Macaca mulatta: one gene and its partner. The protein of the gene in region 2 binds, or shares a complex with, the protein of the main gene of each other region. Links are inferred from orthologs where the notes say so. Each region holds a gene or a part of one and is shown on either strand. Other genes may lie near its edges.

The links.
Region 1: the proteins of STX17 (region 2) and VAMP8 are in contact, whole or in part, in a crystal structure (PDB 7BV6), measured with the Homo sapiens proteins. The link is inferred for Macaca mulatta from reciprocal best matches to the Homo sapiens genes STX17 and VAMP8. Residues at the interface, in NP_060389.2 of Homo sapiens: Ser171, Trp172, Thr174, Leu175, Asp178, Leu179, Glu181, Leu182, Leu185, Val186, Phe189, Leu192, Val193, Gln196, Glu198, Lys199, Ile200, Ser202, Ile203, His206, Val207, Ser209, Ala210, Asn213, Val214, Glu216, Gly217, Thr218, Asn220, Leu221; in NP_003752.2 of Homo sapiens: Gly9, Val13, Leu16, Gln17, Val20, Glu21, Val23, Lys24, Met27, Thr28, Asn30, Val31, Ile34, Leu35, Arg37, Gly38, Leu41, Glu42, Leu44, Arg45, Thr48, Glu49, Leu51, Glu52, Ser55, Glu56, Phe58, Lys59, Ser62, Gln63.

Annotation. Positions count from the first base shown.
Region 1 is NC_133418.1:38,814,375-38,818,656, forward strand, and holds the start of VAMP8 (vesicle-associated membrane protein 8), read right to left. Parts: upstream 2,963-4,282; 5' UTR 2,947-2,962; coding exon 2,944-2,946; intron 1,583-2,943; coding exon 1,424-1,582; intron 1-1,423. UniProt on the Homo sapiens protein: SNAREs, soluble N-ethylmaleimide-sensitive factor-attachment protein receptors, are essential proteins for fusion of cellular membranes.
Region 2 is NC_133420.1:58,439,501-58,443,308, reverse strand, and holds part of STX17 (syntaxin-17), read left to right. Parts: intron 1-2,040; coding exon 2,041-2,156; intron 2,157-2,227; coding exon 2,228-2,278; intron 2,279-3,808. UniProt on the Homo sapiens protein: SNAREs, soluble N-ethylmaleimide-sensitive factor-attachment protein receptors, are essential proteins for fusion of cellular membranes.

The DNA of each region.
Region 1 (4,282 bases), on a different chromosome or scaffold from region 2:
CACCTAGATATGACTAGGGGTCCCCTTTCTCTTCTTACCCCTGCACTGTCATGCACACTGAGGGGTCCTTGACACCTGCTTACACCCAGGGGTACAACACTGGCAGCACAATCTGCCCTCCCAATCTGCCCTTGGGAGGGCAGATCCTGGGACTGAGGGATGCAGGCTCCAGGTGGGCACATCTCCCAGCTACAGGACTCCTTGCCCCATCGGGACTGCTGAGGCTGGAGGAGGGACCAGGACAGTACAGAGGGTTGGAAGTAAGGGAACTCCTCCTCCTCCATGCACTCTTCCCCATGCCCAGCAATTCGAGTTATAGACACTAAATTTCCTAGTGCTTGTCCAGGCATGGTGACTCAAGTCTGTAATCCCAGCACTTTGAGAGGCCAAGGTGGGTGGATCACCTGAGGTCAGGAGTTCGAGACCAGCCTGGCCAACATGGCAAAACTTCGTCTCTACTGAAAATACAAAAATTAGCCAGGTGTGGTGGTGCACACTGTAATCCCAGCTACTCAGGAGGCTGAGGCAAGAGAATCATTTGAACCCAGGAGGCGAAGGTTGAAGTGAGCCGAGATTGCACCACTCTAGCCTGGGCAACAGAGTGAGGCTCTATTAAAAAAAAAAAAAAAATTCCCGGGGCCATGCTCCCCAAATTAAGCTACAATTAAGCTACAGAAACAGGCAATGAGCCCCAGGGAGACAAGGGAGCAATACCCAAGAGCCAAGAGTTCACACAGGACTAAGAAAGCCAGAGCCAGCTTCCCAGCTGGACACAAAACCTGAGGCTCCAGACTTTGCTCAACTTTGGAGTTACTTCCTCCCTGAAACAGCTGGCCGCAGCCCCTGGCTGGAGAGAGAGAAGAATGAAGTCTAGCAAGATGTGTGGGAGATATTATTTTAGCCTTCATCTAGCAGGGGACCCTGGGATCAAAGCATTTCTCTGCTCTTTCCTCCTTCTTTTTAAAGCCAACTCAGCAAGATGCCAGCAATTTCCCACCCCTTGTCTAATAGCTCCTAGAGAAGGCTAGAGGCCACGGTGGGGGGGTTTCCTCAAAGCCAATACTTCTGCCCTGGGAAGGTCAGATCCAAATGATTGTCATGGGCAGGCTTCAAAGGGAAAACAAGTTTCCCGGGAGAGAAGCCTGAGAATGCATGGGCTGACTGAGCTATCAGTCTCAGAATATGCCTCTATGGGTGAGCTGCCACCTCAAGCCCCAGTCATGGGATCCATTCCCTGGGATCCATAACAATCTGTGGAGCAGAGCAGATTCAGAAGTGGAGACTCAGCTCACATCAGCTCCCAAACCAGGTGAAAGGCAACAGAAATGTTACACTTCTGACCCTCCTGTTCATTTTGCCCCACCAAAAAGAAATTCCCTCCCTTCCTCTTTTCCTCCAGCCTCCAGTGGGCTCCCTGTCTCACTGTGGCTTCCAGATCCTCTGTCTTGTTGCGGAGATGTTCCAAGTTTTCCCCTCGGGCCAGGATCCGCTCCACATTCTGGGTCATAATATTCTTAACTCCCTCCACCTCACTCTGCAGGTTCCGCACGCGATCATTTCCTCCACCTTCACTGGCTTCCTCCTGCACAGCAACACGGGGTTAATTAGACCAAGTGGTGGGGGAACTGGAGACTTGGCCTCAGAGGCCTGGGGAGGGTAAGGCCTCAGGCAGACTTCAGCTTTTTGTAAAATGCTTGAAATGTTTACAAAGAGAATGTTTTCATGTATTACTTGTGTAATCAAAAATAAATGCATTTGTAAGCCTCAGAAGGTAAGACGTGATGCTAAAGAGACTAGATCAAACTTCTTTCGGGATTGTTAGGACCCCTGACAAGGAAAAGCAGCGCATCACTAAATCCCTCCCCGCTGCTTCCTTGCTCCCTAGAGAAGGCCGTAGAATACAGCAGAGCCAGCATCTCACAATGTTCCCTTTCCAGGGCAGAGCCCACCACTATTTACAATTCCCGGAGCCACCCCCCTTTCCTGATTTCTCGGGATCCTCATTGAAAGTGTCTGTGCTGGCCAGCAAAACACCCTCACCCAGCCTCACCCATCTGCCCCTCTAAATACCTGCTGGAGCATGGCCCTGGCCGCAATGCCATTGCTGCTGTGACCCAGAACAACAGGCAACCAAGTACCCCAGAAGGCGCCCACAGCCGTTGAGCCACACACTTCTGCTTTCCCTACCACTGGGCACCACGCGCAGGCACCAAGCAACCACCTGCTTATGCAGACATTAAATAAAAATACCCGCCTGGGTGTTGGGGGAAATGGAGGACTAGTCCTCCCTGGCTGATGTCTCATCTCAGAGGCTTCATGACAAGGTTTTTGAACAAGGAGAGAAAAATATTATTAAGCTCCTCCCTCCTTGACCTCCAAAAACAGGCCAGTGGCATGGGTCAGAACTAGCTTATCACAGAGAACCAACTTCTGGTTATCTTATAAACCCTTAGTTCTCTTCTTCATGTTAATGGAGAAAGGACACCCAAAGGACTCAGTGGACACACAAATCCTTTGTGTTTCTGTGTAGGGATAAAGTGAAAGGCCAGAGAGGAGAGCTCCTGCCGCTGGGCTGGAATCTGAACTGGAAACTGCCCAGGCACTGCCTGGTGGTGTCACAACACCCGCCTCGGGCTCCCTGGAGGAGGAAGGCACAACAACACTTTGCCTGGAATTCGGAGCCCCCATTGGCACTGGCACGGAAGCCCAGCTCCCCACCAGCACAGAGGTCAGGGGAGGGAGGAAGAAGGAATAGAAACACCTGCTAGGACGGTTCAGAGCTATTTGCAGCCAAGTTGTCAAAGAGGAGAGGCCACAGGCAGCACTGGCCCAGCCCTCTAACTTTGCCGCCAACTCTCCTCCCCCCACACAGCCAACCCCCAGTCCCGAGCCCCTTCTGGCTCCTCTTTAAATCAGCCCTTTCCTAGTTTCCAGTTCGCTCACCATGTCTCAGAGCAGCCCAGGCCGATCAGCAGGTGAATTCGCCTAGTCGGCTTCCTCCCAGGGTGGCCGTCAGCTCACTTCCTGCTTGCTCCAGCTTTCAGCCTGCCCCCGCCCACCTCGCATCTCGAGTCGCTCCAGCCACACCTAACTCAGGTTTCCCCAGGTAGGCGGGCACTCTTCACTGTCCACCCAGTGGCTTCCCAAACAAGAGCTTAAGCTTAGAGTAATAGGGCTCTCAGATGTTAAAGGTCTTCTAACTTTTCAGGAATTAGAAAAGAAAGATCAAGCAGCCCTCCAAGGTTTCCTGAGGCTGGACCTCCTGATCTAAAAAGGGCAGCCATCTCTCTCTCTCTCTTTTTTTTTTTTTTTTAAATAGAGATGAGGTCTCACCATGTTGCCCAGGCTGGTCTCAAACTCCTGGGCTCAGACAATCCTTCCACCTCAACCTCCCAAAGTCCTAGGAGCCATGACGCCCCACCAGCCATCTCCTTTTAATGTCTTGAATATCTGACTCCAGTTTCTAGAGACAGAGATCAACCATGCCAGGCCTGGCTCACAGGGAAACAAAATGCAGTTATGAAAATTTCTTGCTGGATAACACTTGTTCTCAGGTCCCTCAGTGACAGAAAGCACTAAAACCCCTGAAGTCTGGAATACTGTGATCCTGGGCTCTGATTCAGAAAGCTCTGGGTTACTAGTTACAGGCCCCTGAGTGAACCTTTTCACCTCTGTGGAGTTTGCAGGTGCTGATGCTTAGCTCAGACAGTGCTGGTAAGAAGCAAAAAGAGGCTGGGCATGGTAGCTCACGCCTGTAATCCCAGTACTTTGGGAGGCCAAGGCAGGCAGATCACTTGAGGTCAGGAGTTCGAGACCAGCCTGGCCAACATGGCAAAACCCCGTCTCTACTAAAAATACAAAATAATTAGCCAGGCATGGTGGCAGGTGCCTGTAATCCCAGCTACTCAGGAGGCTGAGGCGGGAGAATCGCTTGAACCTGGGAGACAGAGATTGCAGTGAGCTAAGACTATGCCATTGCACTCCAGCCTGGGCAACAAGAGCAAGACTCTGTCTCAAAAAAAAAAAAAAAGATAGCGTGTGCAGTGCACTGCCACTAGCACAGTGTCTGTAATGAGGGCTCACCAAACCCCTCCTTCCCTTCCAGAGTTCAGCAATTCTGCATTTCCCTTCAGGGACCACCACAGAGGTAATTGATCCCAGTCAGTGATCAGTGATCAGAAGACTGCCCTGGTATACCAGAGCAGGGGCCCAAGGCAAAGGACTTTTCCACTAACCTGGCTCCAGGCCGGAGCAAATCTGTTCTTCCTTGACAGTGTTTATC
Region 2 (3,808 bases):
CTCCTGATCTCAGGTGGTTTTTTTAGTTTCTAATTTTGTCACCTTTCAACTTCATCCTTAATGTGTTTTTCACACAGCAGCTATGGTTTTCTCTGTAAATCTAAAATCTGATTATGGCACCTTCCCAGTAGTCTCCAACTATTATTAATAGTAACATATTGATCTTTTGTGAAAAACAGAACTGTTTAACATAGTTTACAAATGCCATGAATAATCTCAAAGTAGATTTCCAGCCTTAAACTTTACTTTTCTCCTTATCACAGTCAGCTATACTGAACGTTTTTCAGTCCCTAAGCATATGCACATACTGTTCTCTCTGACCTGAATACTCTTTGCTTCTCCTTCCACCCCTGCACCAGTTCACCTATATAGTAATTTCTGTTCATCCTCAGGCTTCAGCTGCAGAGCCTTCTCTGACCACTCTCCCCATCCACAAGTCTAGGTTAAATACCTCTCATCTGTGCCCATGTAGCACTCTATACTTGCCAGTGTTACAGTTCTTATTAGACTATACTGGCTGAACTTGATGATTAATATGTCTGTATCGTGCATTTTATAATAAGATCTGTTAATAATAGCAGCAGCAGTAACTAATTTATTGAGCACTTATACTTTATATATAACCCAGGTACTGTGCAAAGTGAATATCACTTTATTTTACAAATGAGAAAAACCAGCCAAAGAGATGAAATACCCAAAGCAAACAGTTAATAAATAGCCAAATCAGAATTCTCCCAAGTCTTTCTGACTAGGCCCAGGCTTCTAACCACTATACTATGTTGCCTCCTCCGAACTGTTTTTATGGTTTAACATTGTGTCTACAGCACCTCAGCACACTGATCAGCAGGTAGTAGGCATTTAATAAATGTCAACTCAATGAATGAATGATTGGTAAAACCAATATGAGGAAATAAAGACTTGAAGGTAGATTTTAAAGTATGAATTAATTCATCATCATGGTGGTGTTTAATGGGGAAAGTCCTAGTGGGTTGATGACTTTTTAAAACTCAAAAGAAGTAGAAGCAATGGAGGCATGGGCCAGAAGATTGACTCTGAGGAGAAGAGTAGTGACAAAAAAGACACATATGGTAAGAATGTTTGGTGACAATCTTATTGTTACCAATAGTGACTGATTATCATTAATAAAAACATATTACTTCCCTGCTTTCAACACCTTCTGTATCTGGTATTTACACTGAAATAGCCAAATGGGAGTTTAAGGATGGAAAGTATTAAACCTATTTATATAGGTACGTCTCCTTGGAACATTGGCCAAGTAGAATAGTTTTCCTTTGGTGCTTCTTCCACATCTAGCCTTAGTTATTCAGATTGGATAGATGATATTTGTAGCCATTTTTTAGATGACTGTGTAGGTTAAAAAATATGTGTGTAAGCTTGGTGTCGTGGCTTATGCCTGTAATTCTAGCATTTTGGGAAGCTGAAACAGGAGGATCAGTTGAGGCCAGGAGTTCAAGACCAGCCCGGGCAACATAGCAAGACTGTGTGTCAATTAAAAACAAAAAAGAAAAAATTTAAGAAAAAAAAATGTGTTAACTAATCTGGGGAACAAGCTGTCCCATGGATAATTTTTTTTTTTTTTTTTTTTTGAGACAGGATCTTGCTCTGTCACCTAGGCTGGAGTGCAGTGGCATGATCACTGCTCACTGCAACCTTGACCTCCCAGGCTCAAGTGATCCCCCCCACCTCAGCCTCCCAAGTAGCTGGGACTACAGGTGTGTGCCACTACACCTGGCTAACTTTTTAATTTTTTTGTAGAGACAAGGTCTCACTCTGTTGCCCAGATGGGTCTTGAACTCCTGGGCTCAAGCGGTCCTCCTGCCTCAGCCTCCCAAACTGCTGAGATTATAGGTGTGAGCCACTGCACCCAGCCAAATTCTATTTTTGCAGAATAATCAATTTCCTTTTAGCCTAAATTTAGAGAGCATTTAACATGGCATTTGTTTTATGAAATCAATTTATGTTATCTTCTTTCTAACAAAGCAAATAAACTCTAAACATGGGGTTATTATGTTCATCCAGGAGCATTTCATACTACTGAAGCTGAAGCTAGTTCTCAGAGTTTGACTCAGATATATGCCTTACCTGAAATTCCTCAAGATCAAAATGCTGCAGAATCGTGGGAAACCTTAGAAGCGGTATGTTAAAAATATTTTCTTTTTGGTAGTTGTGAGGCATAAAAGTAACTTCCTCTCCCTTTCTTTTAAAGGACTTAATTGAACTTAGCCAACTGGTCACTGACTTCTCTCTCCTAGTGAACGTAAGTATATAACTGTTTTGGATGCAGAATTGTTGGATTATTAGAATGAGAAGCTTTTATAATCACTAGGCTTTTAATTAGAATTTTAATAGAACTTAGACTTTTAAAAACTGGTATTAAGCCATAGATAGAAGTTTAACTGCTCTCAAATTCCAGATTAATTCAATAAACTTATATTAAGCATTTGTTATATACAAGCACTGTGTTAGATGCTTAACATTGAGGGTGTGATCAGGTTGGATATAGAAATAAATGAAGCCCATTCTCTGCCTTTGAAGATTCTTTTTTTTTCTTTGAGACGGAGTCTCACTCTGTCGCCCAGGCTGGAATGCAGTGGCATGGTCTTGGCTCACTGCAACCTCGGCCTCCTGGATTCAAGTGATTTGCCTGCCTCAGCCTCCTGAGTAGCTGGGATTACAGGCACATGCCACCATGCCCAGCTAGTTTTTGTATTTTTGGTAAAGACGGGGTTTCACCATGTTGGTCTGGCTGGTCTCGAACTGACATCATGATCCACCTGCCTCAGCCTCGCAAAGTGCTGGGATTACAGGTGTGAGTCACCACGCCCCGCCTCCTTTGAGCATTCTACAGTGAGTGGAGATAGGCCTGGACCCCAGAAACTGAGCTTTCAAGCATGATGGCTAAATGCAAAAGCAAGAATGAAGAGAGGTATTATCAGCTCCAAGGAAAAGCCTTTAATTCCAAAGGAAGGAGGCAGGAGTCATGAGGTGGAAGCATTAAAGATAGCTTCACACAGGTAGACAGTATTTGTTTGAGCCTTGAAAAATGAGTAAATGTCCACAGGGGGAAGTTATGGAGTATATTTGAGAGGCTGAACAAAGACATGGAGTAGAGAAGTGTATGGCATGTTCCAGAACGGTAAGTACTGCAGTATAACCAAAGCCTAAGGCACCATGGGCAAGCAAGGTGGGTGAGGGCCGGATTGTGGTGGCTTTGAATGCCATGCTAAAGAATTTGAACTTTACTTTGTAGGCATTAAAAAGCCTAATACTGATTCTTGAGCAGGTTAGAGTCATGAAATTCAGTCTGTGCTTCAGAAAGATCACTGTTGGCTTTGTGAATAATGGCCTAAGAGAAGAGGAGGTCATGGAAAGGAAGACTGGTTAGGAATCAATTGCAAGAGTTCACCTGGAGCAATGACAATACCAGTGTAAAGGTAAAGGACAGCTGAGAGATATTTCTGGGAGAAGTATTAGCAGAAATTGGAGGAAGATGGAGTCAAAGATAAGGAACATTGTCTTTATTCTGCATAATTGGGTGTCAGTGATACTATTAACATAGATTAGGAAGCACAAAGTCAATTTGGTGGGAAAGATAGATTTTCCATCATTTTTCTGAATTGTTCTTATTTGTCTTTCCCAGGAGTTTCTGCTTGCAGTTCTCTCTAGGTTTAGTTCTTTGTTCCTGATCAAACCATGATTTTGGGGTTGTTTATCTTTGAATTATGGTTTCCCTGAAATCTAGTTTTAAATGAGAAGTTCCTAGATCACACAATCAGAATTGGAATGG